Linked DNA regions of Tamandua tetradactyla. The protein of the gene in region 2 binds, or shares a complex with, the protein of the main gene of each other region. Links are inferred from orthologs where the notes say so. Each region holds a gene or a part of one and is shown on either strand. Other genes may lie near its edges. The genes, in order: CDHR2, USH1C, CDHR5 and MYO7A.

Region 1 (7,480 bases), on a different chromosome or scaffold from region 2:
ACAGTGCCCTCCTTGTTTAACTTCCCCCTGTTTTTCTGATGTGGAAGCTAAGGCTCAGAGAGGGAGAGTGGCTTGCCCCAGGTCACACAGCCAGGAAGACTGAAGTGAGCCTAGGTCTACCTGGCTGCAAACCCTGCCTGTGTGTTGGAGTGGGAGGGCTGAGAAGGGGTACTTAAAGGAATCCCTAGGGAAGGGTTTGGAAGAGGGAGGTTCTGACCAGCTATCCCAGAACAGAGAGGAAATGGAGGCTGGTGCTCCCAGAGAGGACAGGCACAGGTGGAAGTGACCGGTCAGCTCTCAATTCAATAAAACATATTCCATGGAATGGAGGTTATGGTAGATGATCTCCCCATCACTGGAAGTGTGCAAATCATGGCAGGACAGGTATTGGGATGGGGTGGTTTTTAGAGGGAATTCGTGCCTTGAAGGCAGATTCAGGGGTCTCGGGGTGTGGGGAGGAGTTGGTATCACGAGTCCCAAGTTCTCTAAAGGGCAGAAGGCTCTGAGTCTCTCCAACTCAGGGGCTGTTCATCGTCTGGTCCCTTGGTTGTAAAACAGAGTGATGAAAGGACTTTGCACCCTGCAAAGCCCTGGCAATGTGAAGGGATGACTGGGAAGATAAGGAGGGATTGAATGCACTCACAGCAAAGAGCCCAGACACCCCAGTTTACTTCTGACACAGTATATTATGGCGGGGTGGAGGTTGGGGGGTCTCCATGCTGCAGATGAAGAAATGGGGGCTCAGAGAAGGAGTGACTCACCCCCCGGGTCATACAGCTAGTCAGGACAAGCTGATTTCATTTTGATCAGTTTCTGAACACACAGAATGACAGTCAATGAAGGGTTTTCCAGATCAAACATTTAAAAATACACACAGCTAAGAAAGTGGCTGCAAAGGAACCCTGATGAGTATCTGAATTGCTGCCTCATGTCTGCGGACGGATGCGTTGCTCTGTAATGTGTCCTGTGCTAAGTGCTTTACACTATCTAATTAGTCTGGACAACAAACATATATGAGTCAGGTTCTGCCATTCTGTCCATTTTACAGATGAGGACACTGAGGCTCAGGGAGAGGAAGTACCACTCCCAAGGCTGCTAAGTGGTGGGGAAGGGATTAGGACCCAGATTGCCTGAATTCACATTCTGGACTCTTAGCCCCATTTTCTGTCTGGTGGTCCACTCCCTTGAAGATGACTTTGGGCCCGGACCTGTTACTCTGACCTGAGTCATTTCAGCCCAGAGCCCAGCAAGCTTCGCAGGCTGCCCTGGGCCAGGTGGGCAGGCACCCCTTGACATGGGCAGGGCCACACCTGGCCACACCTGGCCCATCCAGGTGCTGTCCAAAGGTCTGGGCAGGCCAGGAGCAGTGGCTCAGCGCTGTTGGCCCCGAGGTTTGGGGTCTGTCCTACCCTGAGGCTGGGCAGCTGGGGTAGAGCAGGAGCCTGGAGCCTGGGGTGGGGTCATCTTCTCTTTCTACCAGTTAGTCACCAACAATAACTAGCACCTGCTTCCTCCAGAGAGGAGTCTGGCGGCTGGGGTAGGGAAGCCCGAGGCAAGAACAGCGGCACAGCCAAGGGCTCATATCCTGGTTCTGTCTCTTGCAGAGAGTCTCGCCTTTAGGTGGTGATCTAAGCTGTCTGGTCCTCTATTTTCCCATCTGTAATCATCCCTAGGGTTGTTGGGAGCATTAAATGAGATCCTATTAGTGCTAATAACACAGCCACCACCACTACCCCCACAAATAGTAGCATTCACAGACACCCTTGTGTTTGGCATTGTACTAAGGACTAAAAATGCCTGACTTCTCTGAAGTAGGTGCCATATGTTACTCTACCTGCAATTTATAAACAAGGAAACTGAGTCTTAGAGGGGTTATGTAACTTGTTCAGCCACAAATGAATCTAGCCCTCTGACTCCTGAGCCTGATCTTTTCACCACTATATTTTATTATTAGTGTCAAGTGTTGTCCATCCTCCCCCAGCATCCTCTCCTTGGAGACACACAGGAGGAAACACTTCTCATGTATCAGGATTTGGAATTGCACCCTACCTCCCAGAGCCTGGCTATAGATGTATATATGTTTTTAAATGTGTGGATGTGGGCGTTAATGGATCCGATTTCCCTCTTTGCCACGCCTACTGGGAAGCTCCAACCCAAATCATGGGCCACCTCTGGCACCTACCCAGAACTTAAAGGCAGATGTTTTATAGACTAATTGAGGCTTACGTGTCCCTTATTTATCTCACTTACTTTTGCTTTTTTTAGTTTCCTCGCCTTTTTAAAGCATGTGGTAGCATATATATTTTGATCATTTGTTTCAAATTTGAGGGGTTGAGGAACAAACACCCTGGCATGTAGTAACTCCCTGACATATAACTCTCAAATGTGAGTCAATGGACACTTGCCCTAAGAAAGCTATGGATTGCATACTCTGGGAGCCCAGACAGGTGGCAGGGATCTGTGCTGTGTGCCAGGCCCCATGCCAAGAGCCATATGTCAATTGTTTGATTTTATCTTCACCAACCACTTCATGAAGTAGGCAGTATTATTTTTTTTTATCTGAGTTAGGGATGGGGATGTCTGATATGTTACAGTGAAGAGTAGGTGCTCACTCAAAAGGTTTAGTAGCTGGGAAATAACCAAGTCAAGTTCAAACTTTGTCCTTTCCCAATGTAACCCCCCTGTGCCCCTTCCTTAGCACCTGGGTGGGGCGATATAGGGACTGGGGACTTCCATCCTCAAGGGAATGGTGGTCAAGCAGAAACCACTTCAATCAGATCTAGAAGAAAATAGAATGTATTGGTTTAGTAACTGAAGAGCTTGAGGGTCGATAGCTTCAGGCATGGCTGCATCCAGGGGTCGCACAAAGTCAGGAGAAACCAGTGACTCTCCATTTCTTAGCTCTGCTTCACGCAGTCTTTGACTATTTCTCAATCAGACTTTACCCTCCTGGTGGTAGGAAAGTCATTAGAATCCCCAGAGTCATTTTCTTACAACTTAGAAATTCCAGGGTGGAGGGCAGGGGAGGTTGGTCTCATTCTCAACTGTTTCAACCAAAGTCCTTTCTTGGAGTTCCATTAATTCTTTTTGTTTTGGGGGTGGGTGAAATTCACATAACATACAATGAACTATTTCAAAAGTCTACAATTCATTGGTATTTCATATACTGACAATGTTGCACAACTAGAAGGGCTCTCCAGTTTCAAAATTTTTTTGCCTCCCCATTAAAACACCTCTAAGGAATCACTTTGGGGGGGAGGGGTTATCATTTTCTAAAGACTTTTTATTATAAACTATAACATATATACAAAGAAAAGAAAGAGTTTTCAAAGTACATTTTTAACAAGTAGTTACAGAACAGATTCCAAAGTTTGTTATGGGTTACCATTCCACTAGTTCACATTTTTGCCTTCTGGCTGCTCCAAAACACTGGAGGCTAGAAGAAATATCGATATAGTGATTCAGCAGTCATGCTCATTTGTTAGACCCTATTTTCTCTGTTATAACGCCTCCTCTTTTGATCCTTCTCCCCATCTATAGGGATTTGGGGGCACTTCCTGTTCTTTGTGCGGATGAGACCCACCATAGGTTCTTATTGGCCCAGCCTTGCATCGGGTGCCCAAACCTGGCCAATCACAGTGACCAAAGGGATGCTGTGCTCTGACTGGCTGGACATGGGTCACATGACCGCCAGAGGTGGGGTGGAGAAAGGAGGGGTGGGGAGGCCCCCCAGAGGAAAACTTGGGTGCTGTTATCAGGGGGAGTGAGAATTGGTGCTGGCAGGCAGAGCATTAGGTGCTCCCTGCTAGGGAGTAGGGAAAACCTTCTGGGGGAGGGGGAGGCCTCCAGCCAGGGCAGCAATGAGGGGGGCCCTGGGAAGGTGAGGAGAGGCTGGGTAAGGGGTGGGGTTCCTCCGCCTCCCCTTTCCACGTGGCGGGTCCCTGGAGCTGGCGCAGCCATTTGTCCATCAGGGATAATTATAAGGGTACCTGCCTCTCCCTGGTGATAAGGGGAGTCAGTGAGAGCGTGATGTAAAGCACACCAAAGGTGCTCAATAAATGCAGACTCCCACTGCTGGAACACACAAGGACATCTCCCCCCAGGGCTTCCCTGGAGCTTGGGGGGTGGGAGGATGAAGTCAAAGTGTATTTGCAGCTCTTGGTCTGTTTTGGGACACCTGGGGCGCACTGAGCACCCGTCCTGGGCTGACTACCCCCAGTCCACCCGCACAGGTAGTGGTGGGGGAACCAGCACCTCAGGATCCAAACAGGAGGGTTTCAAAGGGAGAGGGGCAGTAACCTCTCTAAGCCATCCAGCCAGAAAGGGGCAGAAGGCTCGGGCTTCTGAGCTTGTCCCTAGGGCCCCCTCTGTCCTTTGTCAACCCAGGGGTCCTTGGGCCACTGTGGCAGGAGTAGAAGGAATTGGGGGCCTGGTACCTCAGGGAGGGTAGATACCCTGAGAAGACCTCAAGTCAAAGAGGGTGGATAATGACAGCTGTCGCAGCATTCACTGAGCCAGGCGTTAACATGCTTGATTGCTTCCCCATGCATCACGTGTCACTGAGGACTCTTGTGATTGAGAGGGGACTACGGGACCTGACTGTCACACTCGGACCATCCTCCTCCCAACTTCCTGCCTGACCCGGGGTTGGGCCTCAGTCCCGCCTCTAGCCCCCTCCTCAATTGGGTCGGGTCTCCTGAGGCATCAGCCCCACTCCAGGAGGTGCGGTCCCCGGCAGGGTTAATGATTGCCCAGGGAGGCGGGTATAGTGCCAAAGTCTGCCAGCTGAGCACCTGTGCCTGCCAGTGCCCACCTGCCGCCTCTGCGGCCCCTTCCGGGGCACAGGTAGGATCTCCGCAGCTCGACTGGGGCACGGTGGGGTCTCCTGGTCAGGGGGAGGTAGGCTGGGGCCAGTGGGGACCAACGTGAGCTTTGGGTGTCTTTCAGTGTCCCCTGGCAGCTGGGTGGGAGCCCCGGCCAGAGGGAGCCATTGCCCACCTAGGGTCTCAGGTTCTGCAAGGTGGGGTTAATGATACCTCCTTCCCAGGGTTCTGATGGCGCCCTTTCCTTCCAACTGCTTGGGTCACTGGACTCATGGAGGGTCCCGGATGAAGGGAAGTGGGGTTACCCCAAGGTCCCTTCTGGAGGAAGCTCCAGGCCAGGACTAAACTCTGGAATCACACCCACTGGGCTCAGGCCCCTTCCTGGGCCTGGCGCATCGCCTCACTATGGCGTCTGAGACAGAGACTCAGCTGACAGCCGGGGCCAGGCCTAGGCCACCTCCCTGAAGCAGGAACTTGAGGGATAGGGGCACCAAGTACAAAGCAGAGACTCAATCGACATTAAGGTCCAGCTGATTGAAACAGGCCGTGGCCGGTATGTGGACTTTGTGGTCCTTGTCATCGTCCCCTTCTCAGCAAGGGAAACTGAGGCACAGAGAGGAGAAAGGGCTTGCCTGGGGTTGCACGGCAGGTAAGTGAAAAGCTGGACTCTGAACCCAGGGCCATTTGACTCTTTGTGTGCTGGATGCAGCAGCCTGGGGGATGGGCACTGTAGGGGACCACAGTGGCAGGAAACCCAGCTCCCTCCCGGGTCCCCCATCCCTGCCACAGGCCACACTGGCTGGGTTTGTGCCTGGCTTGCCCAGAGACTCCTGGCTTTGGAGACAGGCTGGATTGAACACCTCTGTCCCTTGCTCTTAGGCTACCGTTTCTGACTTTCTTTGTGCCCCAGTTTCCTCACTGGAAACCCAGAAATATAATTCCTACCTGGGCAACAGTTTTGGGAAATCAGTGAGAAAATGGAAGTGAAAGTGTGCAAGGAGGAGGCACATCCCTCTCTGCCCTCCCGGAGGCTCTGGGCAGGCCTGGTGGGGGGGGGGGGGGGGGCGTCTCATTCCCAGAGATTCCAGATTGTAATAGGAGGTCTTAGAGCCACACAGTATTTAGACTGTGGTTGACATCACCTCTCAGCTGAGACTGAGGCACCAGCACTTCCCTGGGCAGGCAGGGCTGCACCTTGGGCCCCGTGGTCAGGGTGTGTCTGCCCCTTCCAAGCCAGATACGGTTCCCAGGAGTCTGAATGCCTCAGGCAGACAGGGTGGGCAACGGGTGGGCGCCCAGAAGCCACCCTGATTTCACCCCTGTGTTCATTTCGGAAGCTACTCTTTGAAAGCGGGGAGTGGGGTGGGAATTGGGGATAGGAAACTGTCATCTCTAGAACGTAGATTGTCCCCATGTTTTAGAGGGGCAGACCGAGAGGCAGAGTGGTGGGCAGTGACTGGGGGCTGGAATTGATGTGCCTGTCACTTCAGTCCCAGACCTTGGCCTGAGGAGGAGAAAGGGGTCCCTCAGAGCTCCCTGGGGGGTGGCAGAGACCTGGGAAAGGGGCTTCCATGGCTTTGTCAAGACCTTTCCCCAGGACCAGTCCATGGTGAATTCCATTCACTGATTTTTCGTTCCTAGTTACTCTGTCCTTAAGCCTGCTGGGGAAGGGAGGTGGGGATGAACAAGGCAGGTCTAGCACTGCGCCTTGCTGGGTTGAACCTTACAGGATGGAAAGAATTTGCACACATGTGGGAGGCAAGGGAAGGCGTTCTGGGCAGAGGAACGGAACACGCAAATGCAAGGAGGGAGGAAAGTGTGGGGTGTGGATGAGCACAGGAGCTTTAGACGCCACTGGGCCACAGTGGGGAAAGGAGAGAAGCTTGGGAAAGAGAGGCCAGGGTCCGTGAGACTCTTGCTGGCCAGGCTGAGAGCAGTAGTGTGTCCTGTTGCCAGTGGGAGCTATGGGAAGGTTTGAGCTTTGGGGATGACTCGGTCCAATGAGGTTAGAAGGCTCATTGGGCTAGTTCGTCCTTATACCTCCCCCAGCCCACGTGGGCGCTGTACGTTTTTTCTCAAGTGACTGAACACAAGGGATGACGCTTCTGGACTGTAGAACTTTGGCCTCATTATGATTAAATGAGCATGTTTGGGAAAAGGCTCTCTGACAAAGAGGAGGCAAGATAGCCTGGAATCCAGGTGGTATGGGAAAGAGGCAGGAATGCCGCAAGAGAAAACCCTGGGCTGGGAGTCAGAAGGGATGGGGTATTAGTCCCCTGATTTGCTGTAACAAACTGGCCCTAGCACAGACTGGTGACTTAAAACAACATAGGTTTCTGCTCTCCTGGTTCTAGAAGCTAGAAGCCCTGGAATCAAGGTGTCGGCAGTACTGTGCTCTCCGAGGTTTCTGAGGAAAAATCTTTCTCTGGCTCTTCCAGCCCCTGGTGGGTCCTGACATTCCTTGGTTCATGGCAGCTTCACTCCAACCTGCCTCTGTCATCACATAGCTGTCTTCTCTTCATGTGTCTGTCTGTGTCTCCTCTCCTCTTCTTATAAGGACACTAGTCATATTGGATTAGGGGCTTACCCTACTCCATTGTGATTTCGTATTAATTAATTCAGCCCAGAGCACGAGGTCTTCCAGTTCCATCTCTGAC
Region 2 (7,072 bases):
CGGCTGGGCTCGTTGATGACCAGCTTCAGGTCTCCCACCAGCACCACCACGTCCATGGTCCTGCAGAAACACGGGGGGCGCGTGGAGCCAAGCCCCTGGCTATGATCCCTGGGAGCCACGGTGCAGCTCCAGCCTAGAGCCTCACTGCTGGGCCTAGGTCTGGGAATCTCTGTTTGTCCTTGGAGTTTTGTTCTTTCGTGTATGTAGCACAAGGAAAAGCAGCAACAAGGGATTGTTAACCCAGTTTGCAGATGAAATGGAGCCAGGATTCAAACTTAGCTCTGCCTAGTTCTGAAGCTCAGGATCTCTGCAGAAGGCAAGCCTCTGTGTGAGACGTTGCCACCCCTCTCGTACCCTCACCTCCGCTTCTGATGCTAAGTTCTGTAAATTCTACACTTGCAATATCTCTCACTTCTTCACTCTGTTCAGACCCTTGATATCTCTGCCTGCTCATCTCCAGTTGCCTACTGACTAGCTCACTCTCATCTAATCTTTTCTAAATGTAAGTCACTCCATTTCTCAAACCCTTCCATGGTTCCCAAAGAGAGCAACAGAACGAAGTCTATTCTCCTTGGCAGGTTCAGGACCTTCCACGACCTGTCTCGGTGGAACTTCTCCAGTCTCTGTGTACTCCAAGTTCTATTCCCCTTGATCACTTATCGTTTCCCATTTGCACCCTGGACTTTCATGCCTCTACCCCTTTGCTCATGCTGATGCCACATCCTCGAATGCCCTTTGCTGATATTCCATCTATCAAAATCCTTATTTCTTGAAACCTAGCTCAAATCTTCCTGGTCCTTCCCTCCACAGTTGGAAGTGAAAATTCTGCAGCGTGTGGCTTCTAACTCTCCTGAGCAGTTGTTCCATTGTAACTTATATTAGACGTCTTGGCATATGTGGCATCTAAAGCACACCCCTCAAATGACTCAAGGAAAGAAAGAGCTTTCTTACCAATTTCTGAACCGGCATGGTGCCCAGAAAGTGACAAGAGCTCATTCATAAATGTATGGTGAATGCATCAAAAAGCAAGCGGGTGATTTTAGACCTCTGTCGCAGGGGCTGGGGCCGGCTTGCATGTTTTGTTCCATCTCAGAACTGACCACACTCTGCTGAACCTAACTGGCTGCTTGACAGTCTCTCCAATCAGATTGTGACAACCTGAACTAGGGATTGGAGACACACTTGTTTGAGCAAGACAAGCTCAAAGTCAAGCGCAATGTATTCACTGAGATGACTGAATGGTATGTCCATTTGATTCCCAGGGGCACTGAGAAGCTCAGTGCCTCCCTGAGTTGCCGAGGAAAAGACATCCTCTTGTCCCAGAACAACCCTTCCCAGGACGTCCTGAAGGCAGAGATACCCAGGGAGGTCCACGGGGCTGGACCCAGCACACTCACTGGTGGTACATCCGCAGCACGTCATAGAGATAGTCCTTCTCTGCATCATTTTCAATCAGAAAATCCACCTAGAAATCCAAGGGCAGAATTATAGCTCCAGGCTCAGCATCCCCATTCCAGCTCTCCCAGAAGGGACCTCCCCAGCATCTCCTCTTGGCTGGGGTTATGAGGAGAGGAGGGGAGTCATGCACCAGGCTGCCCCTCCAACTACAAAACCTCAGACCTATGCAGGCCACCCCAGTGTGGCCACAGGGGTGAGTTTGCACATCCAGATGTAGCCAGGCTAAGCCCCGTCCACAGATAGGATTACCAACACACACATAGGGATGCACACACATTTACACATATGTGAACTCCCACGTGACAGCAGTGTGCCCCCATGGGCATGCTGCCATTCACTCCCATGTCTGTGTCCAGGACTGGCAGTGCCAGTGTCAGCTCCCCTGTCGGAAAGAAGCCCCTTGTCTTACCTGATAGTGGCTGTAGTGCCGGACAAACGCTTTCAGAAAGGATTTAGGCCATTCACTCAGATAGCACATCCCACCCACAGGAGGCACCCTACCACTGCGCTCCCCTGTGACCCCAATGCCAGGGGAATGCTGTCCTGTCCTGGACTCGGCTGGGTTGGCCCTGGATCTGTCCACTGGTCATCCTCCTGGCCACTCCTTACCCCTCCCTGGGCCCCTGCACATCCCCCCATATGGGGAGAGTCAGGTTACAGCACTTCAACTTTGTTGACGTCAATGGCTGGGACTCCAAGGTCAGGTTCAGGTGCTCTTTTCATTAGCACCTCAATTCTGGGGCAGCTGGTGGCCCAAGAGACCTGAATTCCCTCCCTGGGAGAGCTCCGTGGGAATCTCAATCCATTGCACCCTTGGGCACTCTCTTCAGCCCAAGACTGAGAAATAGGGCACAGTGGAGGCTGGCGGGGGGTCTTGGGTTCCTCCCCCAGCCTCCATGCTCATTGGCATAGTCTAGGCCCTAAGCCCCTCACTGGGGGAAGCTGCCCCTCGAAGCTGTGAGCGTCCATCTGGGTGGCCCTCAGAGGAAGGCCAGGGTAGCCTTAGCTCTATCTGTGGGGAGCTCATGGGTTCTGAAGGATTGGGGGCACAGAGAACACACTGGGCCAAACCCTTGGGATTTCTGACACGAGCAGAGGGCGTAGAATGCATATGTCTCCCACCTGGCAGCGCTCTTCACTCTAAAATCAGACTGAGCAGTTCATCAAAGAGAGAAACAGCCTAGGATGCTTGGGCTTCAACTGCTACAAAAATTCACCCCACCTGCTCCAAAAAGGGCACTCCTACCCTCTCCCTGCCTCACCAGACTACCCAAGGGTCTTCTAAACAGCTTGAAGATGGGGCAGTAAAGCATCTGCTGGAGTTGGTGGTACTAAATCTTGGGTGGTAGCCTGGGCTCTTGTATACACCATAAAATGGGCCCTTCTGTCCATCTCCATGAGGACCCAGCTTGGAATGCTCTACCCACTCTGCTGGACCTACATGAGAGGGGTGGGCAGCCACAGGGACAGCCCGGGCTGCCCAAGCTTGGCTATGATGGAGGAATCTAAGCAGAGAAAGTTTTGAACTCCCCTAGGAGAAATACAGATTTTTAAAAATATGGATTAGCAAGTGACATATCACTCTCTTGTTCAATAGCTTCTCATTCCACTTAAAACACAAATTCAAACTTGACTTACCAAAGTTTAACTTCATCCCCCTCCACACTCCCCTAGCTACTTGGCCTCCTTTCAGTTCCTCCCCAAGGCCAAATTCTCTCCTGCCATATGGCCTTGGCATACACCGTTCCTTCTTCCTGGATTGTTTACCCCTTTCCCTACATGGCTGGCCAACTTCCCAAAGAGCTCTTCTCCACCCAACTACCTAAAAAGAACTAGCTCCCATACCCTGGGGGTTTTCAATTCCTTTATAGCATCAATCACAATTTGTACTTAAAAGTTTGTTTGTTTATTGGTTTGTCTTCTTCTTATAATGGGAGGGTGGAGTCTGTTTCATTCTAATTTCTTAGAGCCTAGAATATAGTAAGTGGTCAATAAATAAGTAATGAATGAATTTGTCCATCTTCCTGCCTCCTGGTATGCCCAGAAAAGTCGGATGGGAGTGAACGAATCATGGGAAGAGGAGGAAAAGGGAAATAAAGTTTGCAGAGTCCCTGTGAGCCTCCACGGGGTGGCACTATGAGATTTTCATGAGCTTTATCCTGCTCACTGTATCACACCAGCCCTGTGAGGTGTATGCTCACACCATTTTGCAAATGAGGAAACTGAGGCTTAGAGTGGGTAAGTCAACTGACCCAAGATTCCATATTCCATTTCAAGAAGCAGAGCAAATATCTATGTTTTCTCTGCTGCATCACACAGTGTGTGGCTCAAGCCTTTCAGGGAAAAATACACCCAAGACTGCTTTAGGCCAAAATTTGAAAACCTTTGCTTTCAGAAAGTTATCCTCACTTCTCTCCTCTGCACTATTAAGAAAATCCTTTTGGTTTGGTCCACATTGAGCAAGAATACAGAATATCTTTTGAATGACACTTTGAATAGCAAATGTTCTGCTCTCTTAGGGAAGCATGAAAATCCCATTTTCCTTGGTTGGAATGAGGATACTCCTGACCAAAGAACTTCTTGCTAACTCTAGTTGTGTTCAGTTACATTAGAAAAAGGATAGGAGATGGAATCTCTCATTGGCTGATGCCTTAGGACTGAAGTTCTCTTCCATCCCTCTTTGCAGAAATGCACGCATAGCATCATTAGGTTTATGAAGTGATGAGTTGTCCTGGGTAGATAGTAGAAGACTAAGGAAATTTCCAACCTTAGGTTCTAGGATTCTGTTTTTCTGTCATCTCTGGGCCAAGCACAGATTGCTTGGAGATGGTGTTGATGGAAAAAAGCCTGTTTCTGTGGGCTCAGGCTCCTGGCCTTTGTGGGAAGCCCTCCAAGGCTGCCCATACCATCCAGAGGCCCCCACCTAGAAATTGCATCCTACCAGTGTCCTTCTGAGGCAACCTGTAGAGTTCAATTCTCCAGCCTGTTGTCCCCCCACTCTCCCCTGGTTAAGCTCACTCATGATGCGGTCTTCAATCCTACCCTAATCCTTCTCCAGAGTCATCTCCTTCACATCCCACATGGAACTTTGACTGCAGCCAAACAGACCCTTCCCTGGACACACTGAACTTTCCTTTCCCCATATTCACACTAAACATCCGATCTACCTACACAAATCCCTACCTATCCATTAAAAATACATATTTATATATTATAACAGCTAGGAAAACATATTTGATTTATGTAGAATGCTCCTTAAATATGAATCTAAGTGATAAGCTATCAAAATGTTTCTTACATAGGAGATCCATCAAATTAGGCAGGGTTGTGATTCTGATCATTCCCTCCCTCCCCCCGCTACCACAGAAATGTCTCCAAAGAGACTCAGAAATAATTCACTGTTTACTTCTCTTCCCATAGCTGAGAGAAAACACACACCACATTCACTGCATTGCTAAACCTGAGAAGGATGGAAGTTTTTCTGGAAGCTTGAACTTGCAGTAACATCGCCACCATGATTCAAACTTCACTTTTTAAATATTAAAAAAAATTATACTGTATCCCTTCCTCTTGGCATCTGGATTCTCACAAACTCCCCAAGAGGGTTTGCCTGACTCAGCTCTAGGGCGCTTTGATCCATTTTCCCAACACTTTGCACTCAGCTTCCATGAAAAGCACCTGGCACACAGCAGGGATTCAAAATTCATTCCTCCCTGCACTTGTCCTTGATCTTGGCTTCCCTTTGCACAGAGGTTCACAGTTCTCAGTGGTGTCTGCTGAGTGATGATGAACTCCAATTGCTCTAGGCTAGAGCCTTCCACCCATCTCTTGGTCATTCCTGGGTCACTACCTTTCCATCACTCTTCAGCACACATTGGTTGTGGCCTCCTGGATGTCTCCAATCAGTCCCAGATCCACACATGATAGACTCTCCTCCCTCCGCCCATCTGAACACTGCCCTCATTTAAGGTTCCCCCTTCTAAAGTCTCTCCTGACCATGCCCAGCCCAGAGCCTGCTCACCTGCCTTCAGGCCCAAAGTTCATTTTGCCTGGCCCAACTCATTCTGATCAGACTGCACTTAGGTACACCACGTCTGTCTGGGGAACTTTATACATGTTATCTTTAATTTCCCAATGAACCCTCTGAGGTGGATATTATGATCTCCATTTGATAGAAGAAGAAATAGAGTCTCAGAAAAGAGACTGTCTGACCTATGCCTCCCGGCTCCAAAACCCTTTCTCTTCCCAAGCCACTGCATGGTATCCGCTTACCATATATAATTGTCTTGTATGCACTTGTCCAATATACGTTTCTTGAGCACACACTGTGTGAATGACACCCTGTCTTCTTTCTCCAACTAGACTTAGAAAGATTTTCCTTTTCTTGGATCCGCCTTGATACTGGGTACAAAAAGCCTACACGGTCTATACCTAGTTGTTGGGGGTCTCTTTGTCATATCCCCACCCACCTCCAATTCCCGTCCAGCTTGTATTGGATGCCCTCAGTCCAGCATGGCTTTCCCTATTGATGGTCAACTGACTCTGTGCTATCAGCCTGTACTGGGGGTGGGGGAGGGGTGGAGGCAGAGGGAGGGAGGACTGTGTCTCACACCTCCATCCTCACATGGCTTGTGACCCTTGTCTGCGCATCAGAGGCAAATTCTGGGTTTGGCCTTGGGGCCCTCTGTAGCCTCATCTCCCTGCATACCCTGCCCTTCAGGACAGCCACCCAGCGGAACCACACACTTAACTCATGCATTTAACCACACAGTTAACACAAATTCAACTCCATCTGTGCACCCAGCCAAAGGAAGGGGAAAGAGAGCAAGAGTGATTTAAATAATGCATGTCGTTCCACTAGATGAATGTCTCCCCTCCTCGGGCTGTTGTGATGATTAAATGAGTTAATATATGGAAAGCACTTAAGACACTGCCCAGGACATTTCAAGGGCTCCACAGTGCATGCTGGACCTTCATCCTTTGTGCTCTTGGACCTCTCTCCAGCCTTCTCCCCAGTGCGCTATGTTCCAGGATGCTTCACCTGTACCTTCTGGCTTCCTCCTGCATTCAGCCAGGGAGGACCACAAGCAAAAGCTGAGAAAGGATTGGGGGACTTTCACCCCAGCTCCCCCTCTGCTGGACCACACCATGGCAGGTTTCTCCACCGAAAGCTGGAGCTCGTGTCTGGGCATCTTCCATTCTCCCCCTATAGCCTAATCCTCAGTTCTGGTAACCCCTCCTCCCTCCGCCCCTTCAGAACGCAGCTTCCTGCTGCTGCCTGTCCCTGGGTGTGTTGTCATCCTTTTTTGGTTCATACATCCCTGCCCTTCTCTGTGCATGTTCACCCTCGTGTAACTCTCTCCTGATGAGTCGCTTCCTTCCTGTCCCAACCCTGGCTGATGTGAAACCTTGGCTACCGGCAGTGGCAATAACGGTAGCATCCCCTCTCTGTGGAATCCCTGCCTCGAAGACTCACCTCCGACCCCACCTCGTCCAGGTCAAGTCTTTCCTTAGACATGGCCGCAGAGCCGGGCATGTTGTTCTCTGAGCCCACACCAGCATTCTGTTCCCTCTGTGGCCAGGGGACCCACAAGCTCTGTGGTCACTTCTCTTT
Region 3 (6,892 bases), on a different chromosome or scaffold from region 2:
GACACAAAAGGGCAGCTAGTTTATGATCTAACGGGACATTAAATAATTAGAACAGGCAGACTCACAGAATTATGGACTAGAATATGGGTTATAAGGGGTGGTGTGTGGACAGCGTGGGGGTCCAGGCTGAAAGCGCGTTTCGCGGATGGGCGGTGCTGATGGCAGCCCAGCATTGTGGGTGTAATTAACAGCCCTGAATTATATATTTGAAGGCGGTTAAAAGGGGGACGTTTTAGGTTGTATATGTTGCTAAAACAAAATGTTTAGAGAATCCATGGAGCTGTACAACACAAAGAGCAAACCCTAAGCCAGGGACTAGTTAATGGTCAATTATAAAACTCTCATCAGTTGTAACTAATGTGCCACACCAATGCAAGGTTCCCAGGATTTTATGCATGATTATCCTTTAAACCCTCAATTTCTCTAATAAAAAACATTCATATGGAATGGCAGAAGGGCCTGGAGGTCCTATACACTTTTGAAAAAGAAAAAAAAAAAAGGAGGACTTACACTTCCTAATTTCAATACTTACTACAGAATCACAGTCATTAAAACATACGGTACAGGCGTAAGGACAGACATACAGCCAGGCCGACCGGAGTCCAGCGGCCAGTTGGCTTTCCATAGGGGAGCCAAGTCCTTCCGGGGAGAGAAGAGCCCCTCTAACTGCGCTGGGACACGCGGAATTTCCCTGCCATAGAAGCTGTGTGGACGCGACCTCCCCTCCCCACAGAAAGAACTTTGGTTTCCTGAGTTTACTTGGATTTGTGCTTACGGACCTCACAAGAACCGGTTCTCAGAAGTCTAATCTTAATTAATCCTGCATGGACCCCGCATTTTTCTCGGTGACCCTCACCTTTCCAGCCTTAAATAGGGCTCTGGTCTCTCCCATCTCGGAAAATAAAGATGTAAAACCCGGTGATACCGTTTTAATCCGCCCTCCGTGCAGCTCTCTGGTGCCTGCGTCCAGCCTGCACCCGGCCTCACCCCGTGGCCCCCCCCTCGCTCCCTACGGCCTCCTGCGGCGGCCCCTCCGCAACGTCCGGGCCTTCCTACTCCTTCTCCGTCCAGCCCCGACCCCCTCCCCGCCCCCGGCGCCTCCCACCCCCCACCCACCCCTCCCGGACCCCTTCGTCCCCCTAGCAAGCTGTCCGGCCGCCCCCACCCCTCCTCCAGGCCCGCCCGCTCGCGGGACAGTGGCCGCTGGGCTCGGCGCCCGCCTCCTGAGGGTGCTGGGCGCAGCTGGCGATGCTTTGCACGTGCTGCTCCGTCTTCCTGCGCGAACCGCGCCCAGGAGGCGCCCTCCCCATCCCGAAGCCTCCCTGGTGCCCGCGGGCCGAGGGTCCCGGTTCCCGCCCCCCCTGCACCGCCCTCGCCCCCGGCTCGCCAAGGGGCGCCGACGAGGCCGGGCGACAGCTGGGGGGGCGGCCCTGACCTTCCCGCGCGATCAATGGGGCGCGGCCCGGGCTGCTCGGAGCCAGGGCGGAAGCCCGCGCCCCCCGGCGCCGCCAACCCTCCCGTCCCGCCGCCTTAAAAGGGCCGCGCTGGGCTCCGGCCGCGGCCGCGAGCGCTCAGCACCGCCCCGGCGCGCCGCGCTATGGGGTCCCCGGCCGCCGCCGCGCTCCTGCTGCTGCTGCTGCTGCTGCTGGGCCGCCCAGCCGCGCGCCCCGCACCCCCCAGGTGGGTGCCGCCCCTCGCCCCCGCTCCGTGCCGGTGCCCCGGACCGGGTCCTGACCCCTCCCGCCCCCGCAGGGCCCCGCGCCACTCGGACGGGACGTTCACGAGCGAGCTGAGCCGCCTGCGGGAGGGCGCACGGCTGCAGCGGCTGCTCAGCGGCCTGGTGGGAAAGCGCAGGTGGGGCCGCGGCGCGGGGCGCGTCCGCGAGGGGGCGGCCCCGCGTGGCTGCAGCGGCCCCGAGTTCAGCGGGGCCCCACCCAAGTCCGGAACTAATTCTGATTCTTTCTGGGGGTCGGGGCTGCAGCGTGCCGTACCGGGCCCCGCGCGCCCATCCCGCAGGCCTGGTGAGCTCCTCTCCCGCCTCCCAGGACCCCGCGCCCTGCGGGGCTCACCCCGCACCCCTCGACCTGTCCTCGGTCCCCTGTAGGACCCTTCTGTGGCAGCAACTGGACCTGGCAGTGGACAGGTGGGCTGGGAAGGTAAACACAGTCGGTGCTAGTGAAGCCCGGTTTCCCCAGGGCTGTGTGTAGGGGGTGGGGGGTGGGGTCTGCAGCCTCCCGTCCCCTGCACTGGTTCATCTCTGCAGGACGCCCCTGAGGGACCCCTGGGCCGGGCCTGGCCCTCTTCCAGACCCAGGGCTGGGATCAGGATTTTGGAGCCAGCGACCGGGCAGCTAAAGGAGCCGTGAGGTCCGGATGGCGGAGGCAGGACGTTCTCCCCGGCGGCAGACAGGACGGGCCGGCCGGGCGTCGGGCGGGGCGGGGCCTGTGCTGACCAATCAATAAAGGAAGAATTCGAACCCTGGCTCCGGAGCCCACCCCGCGCGGCGCCTGGGTCCCCGGGGCAGCCCCAGCCCTAGGCAGTGCTGACCCCTCTTCTTCCCGGTTCCTTCTTCCTTCTCGCCAGCATCAGCGCCACCTCCCTCCCCTCCGGGAGCTCCCCTACCGGGAGTCCCCTACGCACCCCCAGCCGTCCACTAGGCAGTGCAGGGGTAGGAGGCTGCGGACGCCCCCTCTCAGGGGCCATGTGAGCAGGAGTGGAAGGAGTGAGGGGCTCGCTGGGGGCTGAGAGGCTGTGGGGCCGAGGGGACCGGCTGGTGGTCCCCGCGCCGGCCTGCTGATGCCTCCCAGCCTGGGCGCCGGGCCGGCCATGATGCCTCCTGGGGACAGGGTCACAAAGCAGCGTCAGGGCCAGGAGCAGGCAGTGACCCCATCAGCAAAGAGAAAACCGAGTGCTGCTGGGTTAGGGAGCAGCTGGTACGAGGCCTGGGGGCGTGAGCTCCATCTCTCCCCTCTTCTTGACAACTCCCCTCCCTGTTTCACCTCATGGTCTCTCCACAGCTGCTGACCTCAGGACTTGGGGAGGGGGGATTTGATGGCCAAGGAGGGACGGCAGCAGGTGGGGGGGAGACCCAGGGTCCCTCCCCAGGAGCTCAGCTGTCCTGTCCCATCGCTCTGTCCCCTGCAGAGCCCACCTAGAAGCAGCTGAGTTGTTTCTGGCACTGGAGGTGTAGGAACTCAGAGCCTTTCCCCCTCAACCTGGGGAGCTGGACTGCCACTGCGACCTCAGGAACTTTGAGAGAGACCTTAGGAGACTAGAGACAAGTAGAGGGCAGGCTGGGGACTGGGGACAGGGGACACACCAAACTCAGAGGACAAAGGCATGGCTGCTGCCCTTGCTCCTGCCCCAGCCCCAGCCCCCGCCCCTGCCCCAGCCCCAGCCCCTGCCCCAGCCCCAGCCCCTGCCCCTGCCCCAGCCCAGGCCCAGCTCCTGCCCCTGCCCCAGTCCCAGCCCAGGCCCAGCTCCTGCCCCTGCCCCAGCCCCTGCCCGAGCCCCTGCCCCTGCCCCAGCCCCTGCCCCAGCCCCTGCCCCAGCCCCAGCCCCTGCTCCTGCTCCAGCCCCAGCCCCTGCCGAGCCCCCGCCCCCGCCCCCGTCCCCGCCCAGGCCCAGCTCCTGCGAGCAGGTGTGGATCCCCTTTCCCCCACTCTGTGTCCCGGCGTCTGTGCACTGTCTTCTCCCCGGAGGCCCCCGCCCCCCCTGCCCGGCACGAGGCCCCACTGGAACTGGCTGGCGGAACCGCCTTGGCGGAGACTGGAAGTAAAGGGCCATAAACCGGGGCGGCGCCTGGCAGGGGCGAAGGTCGCCGAGGCTGCGCCAGCTCAGGCCGCCCAGGGTTGGCGCCAGGCACCACCGGGACCCTCCTGCGGGGCGCGCCATGGGCGCTGGGGTCCTGCTGCTGCCGCTGCTGGCGGGGCTGCTGGGCGGAGCCCCTGGCGTCGGGGCCCAGGGTACGGCGGGGTCCCGGGTGGCCCGGAGCGGGGGTCCGAAGAGGCCGGGCGCGGGGTGCGAGGCGCGGGGTTCCAGGGTCCGAGGTAGCGGCGCGTGGGGGTCGGGCGTCCCGGGCGGCGGGGCGCGGGGTTCCGGGGTCGGGGGCGGGGAGGCGCGGGGTCCGGGGTCTGCGGCGGCAGGGCGCGGGGGTCCGGGCACCCAGCCAGAGCACCCACCCTGCACTCCCATCGCGCAGCCTGCTCGGTGAATCAGACGTTCTTCGAAATCGAGGAGAACAGGAATTGGACGGAGCCCCTGGTGGACATCTCCGTCCCCCCGGACCAACAGGTGACCCTGGGGCCCTCTTCCACCCCGGGCGCATTTCAGATCATGGAGGACCGGCTGTTTCTCACCGTGACCCTGGATTACGAGGTGCCGGTCCAGGCAGGGCAGGGCGAGCCCCTGGGGGGCCTCCATGGAGTGCCCGCGGGTGACCCCCGCCCTCTGGCCCGCAGACGCAGCCGCTGCTGCAGGCGCACCTGGAGTGCAAGAGGGGGGGCGCCGTGGTAAGTGCCGCCGGGCTGGGCTGGGGTCGCCCCGCGGTGGGGAGCGGCCCCCAGCCCCGCCCCGCCCCCCATCCCCCGCCCCGACCTCCCTGGAGCCCACTGCCCCCGCATGGCCTTCAGGACCCGCCTGTCCCGACGCCCGGCCCCGCCCCCCCGCCTCCGCGGGCCCCTCTGCTCGTCACCCTCTTCCTGGACCTGCGCCCCCCCTCCTCGGGGGCTTTGACGAGGCCCCCCGCAGCCCCTGACCCTGCTTTAGTTATTTTTTAACCTTTTCTTGGGATCATTTCAAAGGTAGGAAGTTGAGCGGAGGTAGGAGCCCGGCTCCGCCCTCCCGCCTCCCCAGGTCCCCCGCGAGCTGCGCCCCCCACGGCCCGCTCCCGGGCACCTGCCCACACCGCGCCCGCCCGCAGGTGACGCAGCTGCGCGTGTTCGTGTCGGTGCTGGACGTCAACGACAACGCGCCGGTCTTCCCCTTCCCCAACACGAGCGCGAACGTCAGCGAGGTGAGCGGGGCGGGGGTAGAGGGCGCGGGGCCGGGCGGGGCGCAGGGCGGGCGGCCGGGTCGTGCGCGCATGGCGCGGGAACGCGGCCCTTTCTCGCCAGGACGCGAAAGTGGGCTCCATTGTCATCCCGGAGACAGACCTGGAGGCCAAGGACCCTGACAAAGACGACATCTTGTTCTACACCCTCCAGGAAGAGACCCTGGTCCGTGCTGCCCACCCCCCCTCCGGCCCCCCCACTCCCCCCCACCTCTTGACTCCCCCCCACCCCCACCGACTCCCCCACAAGCTGCTCTGCCTCCTCCCAGAGTCTCAGGCTGCGCCCCCCCCCCCCCGCAGGGTGCCAGTCACTTCTTCTCCCTGGTGGGTGCCAACCGCCCCGCCCTGAGGCTGGACCAGCCACTGGACTTCGACAGGTGGCCGGCCATGACGTTCCGGCTGCTGGTGCGGGTGAGCAGCCCCCCACCTCCCGTGCCCCCACTGAGCCCCAGCCCCAGGCACCCGGCCTGAGCTGCGGGGACGCTGTTACAGGACACCCCGGAGGAGGGCGCCCTGCCCGGCCACACCGCTATGGCCACGCTGACCCTGAAGGTCCTGCCTGCCGACCTGAGGCCCCCCTGGTTCCTGCCCTGCGTCTATGCGGATGCCCACGTCTGCCTGCAGGCCCAGTACCAGGGCGCCGTGCCCACAGGGCAGCAGCTGGTACAGCGGGCAGCGCTGGCCGGGTGTGCACAGTGGCTCCCGTCAGCGGGCCAGGGTCAGGGCTGCGACCATCTCCATGGTGGTCATTTTAAAACAAATATACAGGGCCCTTCGTGAGGCGTCTCCCCAGCCAGGCAGTGGCAGGGGGTTGGGGAGCGGCATGGGGGGGTCACCAGCTCAGCCCCCACCATCGCTCTGTGGCCCCTGCAGCCCGACCCTCTCACCCTGCGTCCGGGACCCATCTACGCGGTGGACGGGGACCGGGGCCTCAACCAGCCCATCGTCTACAGCATTGTGGACGGTGAGTGGCCCCCACCTCGGCAGAGGGCACCCCGGCCTACCTGCCAGGGTCCGGCTGAGCCCGCACCCCCCACCCCCCAGAAAACAGCGATGGGATATTCACCATCAACAGGACGTCGGGGAACCTCACCATGGCCAGGGGCGCCCCCAGACCCATGACCTTTCACCTACTAGTCAAGGTGCGGTGGTGCGGGCGGGGCGGGGGCTCCCGGTGTCCCTCCTGCACTGACCCCCGCACTGCTGTCCCCAGGGCGAGCAGGCCGATGGCGCCCGCTACTCTGTGACACAGGTCACCGTGGAGGCCCACGCCACCGCTGGGAGCCCACCCTACTTCCCCCACGGCCTGTACCGCGGCCGCGTGGCGCTCGGCGCCGCAACTGGCGAGATGGTCAGGGACGCCAGCGACCCGGCCCGGCCCCTGGCGGTCCAGGCCCAGGACCCAGACTTCCCGGTAGGTAGCCCAGCTGCGGGGGCGCCCGGCCCAAAGCCCCCACTTGCCTGTCCGGCCGCGTGGGCGTTGGGGTTCCAGGAGTCACGAGCCTGTTTCCAGGGCATCAACTCGGCCATCGTGTACAGAGTGACCAACAGCTCAGAGTTCAGGATGCAGGGGGAGCTGGTGCTGACCGCGGCCCCGCTGGCGGCGGCCGGCCACCTCTACGCCCAGGTGAGGTGCGGGTGGGCGGACAGGGGGGCCCGGTGGGAACTGAGAAGAGACCAACCCCCTTCTGCCGCAGGTTGAGGCCAGGAACACGGTGACTTTGGGCACAGCGACCACCGTCATTGAGGTTCAGGTGTGGGAACCAGAGACTGCCCCCACAGGCAGGCCCCCAGGTGAGCCCCCACCCCCAGGAGGCTTTCAGGTGAGCCCCCCGAGTCCCC
Region 4 (6,904 bases), about 25 Mb from region 2:
TCATTCAGAGACTCCCAGAAGACTCCTAGCAAGTAGCAAGTCCAGCCCCTGACCTGGACATGTAAGCAAAGGGGCCCAGAGAAGGACTGAGACTTGTTCAAGGTCACACAGCAAGGTGCAGCAAATTCAGGCCTAAGGCTTGGTTTCCAGACTTCCAGCTCAGAGCTGCCCCAGGAGTAGGGCAGCCTGGCTTGGGGGGAAGCTCATGGTCTGAGCATGACCTGCTCAGGGCACACCCTGCCTAAAACCCTTCCAGAGTCCCCACTGCCCTCAGGGTGGAGAGCCTAAGACCCCCAGCCTCTTTTTTACTTTAACATTTTTTATTATAAAATATAACATATATACAGAACAAAGAAAGTAAAAAGCAGTAATTTTCAAAACACCCTTCAACACGTAGTTACAGAAAGGATCCCAGTGTTTTTCATGAGCTACCATTTCATCATCTCATATTTTTCCTTCTAGCTGCTCCAAAACACTAGAGCCTAGAAGGAATATTAATGTAGTGATTCAGCAGTTATATTCATTTCTTAAACCTCATTTTCTCTCTTAACCTCCTCCTTCTCCTCTAATCCTTCTCCCATTCTATAGGGATCTTTGGGGAATGTCTGTTCTCAATTTTTCATGTTGAGAAGGGGTGTCCACACTGAAGGATGGAGGGTATAATTAATTGATAATCCTGGAGAGGCTGGTCCCTCCGAGTTTCAGGATTTATCTGACCTAGGACCCCTCTGGGGATTATATGTTCCAGGAAGGCAAGCCTAGTGCATGAAACCTTTACCGAGTCTCAGTTCGAGCCCTAGGTGTTCTTAAGAGTCAACAGGAGTGCTGTTGAGTGGGGTTTAGCAAACCATGGAACTGAGTTTTATCTAACTGGAACTGAAGCTTGCATAAGAGTAGCCTCCAGGATAGCCGCTCAACTCCATTTGATCTCTCTTGGCCACTGATGTTGTTTTATTACATTTCTCTTCCCCCTTTTGGTCAAGAAGGCATTGTCGATCCCACAGTGCCAGGGCCAGATTCATCCTCGGGAGTCACGCCCCACGTTGTCAGGGAAACTCTCACCCCTGAGTGGCTTGTCCCGCATAGCAGGCAGTGTAACAAGTTTCCTTGCAGAGTTGGGTTTAGGGAGAAAAAGGCCACATCTAGCAACAAAGAGGCTTCCTGGAAGCAACTCTTATGCCTCCTCATGAGAAGTCTTAGCTTCTCCCCTACAGTAATAAGTTTCATAACAGCAAGCCTCAAAATCTAGAGCTTGGACTATTTTCCACTGGCTGGGAGGGTACCCGGGGTTTCTCAGATGGGAGAGTTTACCTGGTTCTGTATATTATATTTTCCCCCTTCAGATCCTCAAGGGACTCTACCAATATGTTTTAATTATCAGCCCTCCATAGTCTTAGATGTGTCCTGGCACTGCACCAAACCATAAAGAATTGCAAGGCCTTGTTCCTGTTCTGGACTCCAGGAGTGTGGGCTGTCCAGATGAGCTAACCGGAGAGCCCTGGCCCCTTCTAAGGCTCTGCACGATCTGGTCCCTGCTGCTGTCTGTCTTGCCTCTTACTGCTTCCTTTCTTCCCCACCCCTGCCCTTGGGCCATCCTTAGCAACTCCTCGTTCCTGAAATATGCTAGCTCTTTTCATACCTCCTGGCCTTTGCATACACCATCCCCTCTGCCTGGAATTCTGACCAATGAATACCATCTATATCTCATGACTCAGCTCAGATGGAACCTGCCCTGGAAGCCCTCCCAGATCACCCACAGCTGCCAGGAGCCCCTGCATTTCCCTCTATCCTGCATTTCCCTCTATCCTAGCTCTGCTTTGATGTGCTATGTTGTCTGGGTGGGTCCGAGTCATCTCTGCCTCGCCAGCCTCGTCCAGCACCAGACCAGGACCAGAGTCCTGTGGGGCTGAGAGTGGCCGTCAAAGGCAGATGGCCGTGGACCCTGGCTCGGGGCCCCTCCGCCCCCCCCCCCGCCCCCCCCCCCGAGAGGAGCATCAATTTTTCACCAGGGCCCATTCAGAGGCTCTGGGGCATTTGATCTTCTGCCTATGGAACTGCTGACACCTGAGCCCTGACCCCTGCTCTGGAACTCCGGGACACAGCAGGGACACAATCCTTCCAGAGGCCTGCCCCCTGCCTGGGCACCTGGCAGGGAGGTGAGTGCAGCAGGGCCCGCGGGCAGCTGCCGTGGGGAGATGTGTCTGAAGCGCCCGGCTGTGGTGCTGGCATCGGCCCCAGCAGGAGCTGCCACAGCTGGGGTCAGAACCGATGATTTCATGACAGAGCCAGGGCTGCAAGGGTTAGGAGGGCAGTGAGGGCGTATAATTTTAAGGGCCATACAGAAGGAAAAAGCTACAAGACATTTTTTTTTTCTAAAAATATGAACTAAACTGTGCATAAGTTAACTGCATTTCAAATTGACAACAGGAGACACCGATCTGTATTTATGTGCCGTGCCTGGTTTTACATGTTCCTTGTTTCTTCCTTCTCCAGGGTCCTAACTGCCATCCTTCCAGGCTCAGGACATTTTCAATCCCCGCCCCCAACACACACACACACCACCACCAAGTGCGGCAGGAAGCTTGGGAACAAATGGCTGCGGGGCACGGAATCCAGCAGCAGCCGGACCCCTGCATCTTTCTGCTGCTGCAGGGTCTGAGCAAACCTTACTCCCAGTGCCCAGGGCAGAGGGCAGTTCATCCTTACCTGGGCCCCCGCCGCACCCTTTCAGCTGCCACCTGCGTGCAGGGCTCAGGAAGCTGGGGTCATGAGTTCAGGCCAATCTGCAGACACCTTCTTCCCTTCTTCTTTCTTGCTCCCAGGTTCTCTCTGGATGTCTCTCCAGGTCTTTCAGTTTTTCACTGTCTCACTGGATGTCTCTCTGTCTTGCTGGGTCTCCATGTGTCTCTGCATCTCCGTCTCCCTTTCAGTGTCTCCCCTTCTCTCCTGTCCAGGGCAGCTGTCCTGCCAGCACTGCCCGCTCTCTCCTCTCCAGTCCAGAGCCTTCTCCCAGGAGGCGGAGCCAAAGGGGGGCCCTCCGAGGCCTGGGACCCATGACATCAGCTTGGGGGCGGGCTGTGCTGGGACCAGAACTTCCAGAGGCTGTCCAGGGCTCTGTGTGAGCACCCGCTGGCCCGCGAGGAAACAGGGACACGGGGGCTCTCTCTACCTGGGTGCTGACCAGCATGTGACCTGGACCAGGGGCCACCGTCCTGGCCTCAGTGACCTCCTGAAGTATGCACTAACACCACCTGCTCCCACTCAACCTGGGCTGGAAGCCGCATTCTGATCCTGACATGGTCACTGATTTGTTGGCATCTCAGCCTCTGTCCTTCTCTGAGCCTGTTTTTTCTCTTCTGTTAAATGGCTGCTTGAGACTGAGAGGAAAATGATCAGGCAGGACATGGCAGAAGGTAGGGTGCTGAGCAAGACCCCGTATTTTGGCCCCTTCTCCCCCCTCCCTGTGCACGCGTCTCTCCCTTTAAATCCCTGCCCCAGACCCACTTGCCAAGGACTGCCCTCAGATGGGTATCCCGAAAGCTCCTCAAATCAAATAATACCCCCCAACCTGTTCTGGGAGTGGGTACGTGCTGTCGTGTAATCACCCAGGAGACTTTGCCAAAGGAGCTGACTTGGAGCAACCCTGCATGTAACAGGGACACATACAAATTAAAGGGAAATATGTGATTTATAAGGGAAGGGAAGGGAGAGAGGATATTTACTCGAATGAGTTGAAAACTTATGTCCACATAAAAGTCGCACATGAATATTTATGGCACCTTTATTCATAATTGCCCCAAGATGGAAGCAACCAAAATGTCCTTCAATATGAACGGCTAAACAAACTGTGGTACAACCATACAATGTAGTAGTATTCCTCGATTAAGAAAAAAAAAAAGCTATCAAGCTACAAAAAGACATGGAAGAATCTTAAATGCATATTACAAACGGAAAAAAGCCAGTCTGGAAAAGTTACATATGTATGATTCCAATTATATGACATCCTGGAAAAGGAAAAACTGTAGAGATAGTAAAAACAGCAGTGGTTTTCAGGAGCTCAGAGAGAGGTGGTCCAGGATGGGTAGGTGGCATGCAGGACATTATAGGGCAGTGAAACTGTTCTGTGTGACATTGTAATGCTGGATACATGACATTATATTTGTCAAAACCCATAGAACTGTGTAGCAGAAAGAGTAAACTTTACTGTCAACTAGACTTTAGTTACAAATAATGTATCAATATTGGTTCATCAATTGTAACAAATGTATCACACTAATGCAAAATGTTTTTAATAGAGGAAACTGTTGCGGGGGGAAATGGGAACTCTGTATATTCTGCATAATTTTCTGTAAATCTAAAGCTACCCTAAAATAAAGTCTATTAAAGCTCTGAGAAAAAAATTTTGTACCAAAAACATAAAATGAAAAAGATGTTTGAGCCACATAGACCCAGAGTTAATATTCTTCTGAAATAGGTTATAAAATGAAACATATAAATCTTCGTGAATAAACAAAAAATGCTAGTAGGAAATTTGACAAAGACTATATGGATATGGTTTATGAAATAAATGTATGATCAGACCACAAAACATAAAAATTATTTGCATGTCTTAGCATTTAAATAACCAAAGTTTGATGAAGTAATGAAGTATTGGATTATTTTTCTTATTAAATAGAAGCCTGTACTTTTAATTATCATACCCACAATTATGAACACTTGGAAATGGGTATTCATATATACAGAGGTTAATAAATAAATGTACACAACATTTCTAAAAGCCCACATTAGTTGAAATTCAAAAATTATAAAAACTTTATGACATGGTCCTTTCTATGAATTTTTCTTAAGATTTATATATTTTAAATCTGTTTCTAGCTGGTTGCTCCACACAGCATTTCTAATATTATTTAAAACCTGAAGCCAACCCAGATGCCTTAACAGAGTGAATTAAGGAAGCACATTGAAATCATCCATACGTTGGAATAGAATCTAATAAAAATATTTTAAAATTGTACAATTGAAAGTGGTTGCAATGGACCATTTAGGTTGCATATGTGTTATTACAATAAAAATTTTTAAATACATAACTTTTAAAAAAAAAAAGAAGGGGGGACTACACAATTAGCGTTTGTTATTAGCACTGGCAAAGACAGTAACGTGGAGGCCTCCTTACTGAGACCCAGCACTTTCTCATTACCGCCCTTTGCCTACAACCACACCTGGAAGCTGTCCCCACTCAGTCCTCTCCAGGGACAGCCCTAGGCCAGGTAGAGGGACACACTCTAGTACCCCCAGGCTCTGTAATGGGGATGTGTCTGCAAGAAAGGGACCTCCTGCCGCAGCCCAGAAAGGGGTTGGAGGCCCAGCAGCGCCACCTGCTGGTCACAGGCACAACATCCCAACTGCGATCCCATGGAGCAAGGCAAGGCACCCAGCCTCTGTACCTGGGCTGCAGGTGGGCAGTGGGGTGCTGGGAATGGAGGTGGGGTCAGGTAACAGGTCTGGCTCTTCACTGGCCATTACGTGACAACTTGCCCCAACCCACCCCACCCCCGGCCTGGCCATGCTTTGATAGTGGTAGAAAGGCGTGAGCTTTGGAGTCAGCTTGGCCTATTTCTGGCTGTCTGACTTAGGCAAGCCCAACCTCTCTGAGCCTTCTATTCCTCATCCTTAAAATGCCAGGATAATATTCTCCTTAGGCAGGGTGGGGAGGGGGCGCCATGAGGTTCCACCTCACAGTGGAGCAAAGCAGCTGCAGCCCAGGGGCAGGGTGCTCGAGGCCCCAGGAGTCAGCAGTGGCAGCTGGAGACCAGGAGGCTACTGTCCCTCAGAGAGCAGGGTGCCCCAGGCAGCCAGAGCGGAGCATGTTGGCCTGAGGCTCAGCCTCTGCTGGGGCCAGTTCTCTCTGACCAGACAACCCTGAAAACCCCTGACAGGAGTTGCTCTGGAGTGGACTTCCACCTGCTGGTCCTACTTAGAACCTACCCCTCCACCATCACCTCATGTCCTAACCTTTGCCAGCTGGGTGAGGCAAGTGGGGCCAGCCCTGCCCGGATGGGGAAAATGAGACCAAGAGGGGGACATGCTTGTTCCCAAGGCCATGGCCAGCAAGCTGCAGGGACAAGCACAGGATACAGGTCTGAGCACAATCCCAGGGATGGGGGCAGAGTGGTAGGAGGTGGGGAGTGGGGGTGGTCTCCAAACATCATGACAACAGCTACCATCTCTTCACACCCGCTGCATAAAGGTACCACACTGAGGTCATCCTGGCTCACTTATTTTGCCCTCATCCTCCCTTCCCCATCAGCCCAATCTAGCATGGAGTCCTATATGCTCTGCTTCCTGAATGTATCCCGTTTCTCCTCACCCAACACCCCCAACTTCCTAGCTCAAGCTGCCAGCATCCGCCAGGGCTCCCTCCACAGCCTGCTCTGGTCTCCCCACATCCACCAGCACCCACCCCCAAATCCTTCTCTTTCCACACCCCCTCCCCCAGCGTGCGCGCGCACACACACACACACACACACACACACACACACAAACGCACACACTTGCCTCCAGTTCATCCATCAGCTCAGGGCTTAGGCCCTCCCTCCCTTGCCTGAAAGACCAGGCGCCCCCAACACCCCCTCACCAATCTACTGATTATCTCCTGCGCAACGTGTGTCATGACCAGAGCCTTTGTGTCTGCCTCCCTGCCAGTCTGCAGACAGCTCCAGAGCGGAAGCTGTGTCTGGGTCTCTGCATCCCCCAGGCCTAGATCTGAGCTCAGCACAATGCCAGTCCACACAGATGGCCTGAAGGAAGGAAGGATTCCAATGACCTCAGCTCCCTGATGCACTGGCAGGCAGAAGGGTCCAAAGTGACTCCCAAGTCCTCCCTGGCCAGAGAACCGTCACCCTGG

The links.
Region 1: USH1C (region 2) and CDHR2 share a complex: the UniProt entries of both Homo sapiens proteins name them as parts of the IMAC/intermicrovillar adhesion complex. The link is inferred for Tamandua tetradactyla from reciprocal best matches to the Homo sapiens genes USH1C and CDHR2.
Region 3: USH1C (region 2) and CDHR5 share a complex: the UniProt entries of both Homo sapiens proteins name them as parts of the IMAC/intermicrovillar adhesion complex. The link is inferred for Tamandua tetradactyla from reciprocal best matches to the Homo sapiens genes USH1C and CDHR5.
Region 4: the proteins of USH1C (region 2) and MYO7A are in contact, whole or in part, in a crystal structure (PDB 5MV9), measured with the Homo sapiens proteins. The link is inferred for Tamandua tetradactyla from reciprocal best matches to the Homo sapiens genes USH1C and MYO7A. Residues at the interface, in NP_001284693.1 of Homo sapiens: Glu450, Pro456, Ile457, Val461, Val462, Ser463, Tyr466, Glu467, Lys479, Gly480, Pro522, Tyr526, Asp527, Asp528, Glu529, Leu530, Thr531, Phe532, Phe533; in NP_000251.3 of Homo sapiens: Phe1946, Val1953, Ala1976, Lys1995, Lys1996, Trp1998, Gln2017, Pro2020, Lys2021, Arg2024, Tyr2026, Ser2112, Ala2113, Phe2114, Phe2115, Glu2116, Val2117, Lys2118, Ile2128, Ser2161, Gly2163, Asn2164, Thr2165, Tyr2166, His2168, Leu2181, Glu2183, Thr2184, Ser2185, Leu2186.

The regions. Positions count from the first base shown.
Region 1 is NC_135346.1:58,007,339-58,014,818, forward strand, and holds the start of CDHR2 (cadherin-related family member 2), read left to right. Parts: upstream 1-4,478; 5' UTR 4,479-4,743; coding exon 4,744-4,845; exon of another isoform or gene 4,846-4,899; intron 4,900-4,937; exon of another isoform or gene 4,938-5,472; intron 5,473-7,480. UniProt on the Homo sapiens protein: Intermicrovillar adhesion molecule that forms, via its extracellular domain, calcium-dependent heterophilic complexes with CDHR5 on adjacent microvilli. Thereby, controls the packing of microvilli at the apical membrane of epithelial cells.
Region 2 is NC_135334.1:93,048,054-93,055,125, forward strand, and holds the start of USH1C (harmonin), read right to left. Parts: upstream 3,003-7,072; 5' UTR 1,937-3,002; coding exon 1,868-1,936; intron 1,466-1,867; coding exon 1,398-1,465; intron 61-1,397; coding exon 1-60. UniProt on the Homo sapiens protein: Anchoring/scaffolding protein that is a part of the functional network formed by USH1C, USH1G, CDH23 and MYO7A that mediates mechanotransduction in cochlear hair cells. Required for normal development and maintenance of cochlear hair cell bundles.
Region 3 is NC_135335.1:485,102-491,993, reverse strand, and holds the start of CDHR5 (cadherin-related family member 5), read left to right. Parts: upstream 1-3,892; coding exon 3,893-3,965; intron 3,966-4,201; coding exon 4,202-4,377; intron 4,378-4,460; coding exon 4,461-4,511; intron 4,512-4,921; coding exon 4,922-5,014; intron 5,015-5,114; coding exon 5,115-5,216; intron 5,217-5,350; coding exon 5,351-5,461; intron 5,462-5,542; coding exon 5,543-5,713; intron 5,714-5,923; coding exon 5,924-6,014; intron 6,015-6,094; coding exon 6,095-6,192; intron 6,193-6,263; coding exon 6,264-6,464; intron 6,465-6,563; coding exon 6,564-6,677; intron 6,678-6,747; coding exon 6,748-6,844; intron 6,845-6,892. UniProt on the Homo sapiens protein: Intermicrovillar adhesion molecule that forms, via its extracellular domain, calcium-dependent heterophilic complexes with CDHR2 on adjacent microvilli. Thereby, controls the packing of microvilli at the apical membrane of epithelial cells.
Region 4 is NC_135334.1:67,926,725-67,933,628, forward strand, and holds the start of MYO7A (unconventional myosin-VIIa), read right to left. Parts: upstream 3,017-6,904; 5' UTR 2,707-3,016; intron 1-2,706. UniProt on the Homo sapiens protein: Myosins are actin-based motor molecules with ATPase activity. Unconventional myosins serve in intracellular movements. Their highly divergent tails bind to membranous compartments, which are then moved relative to actin filaments.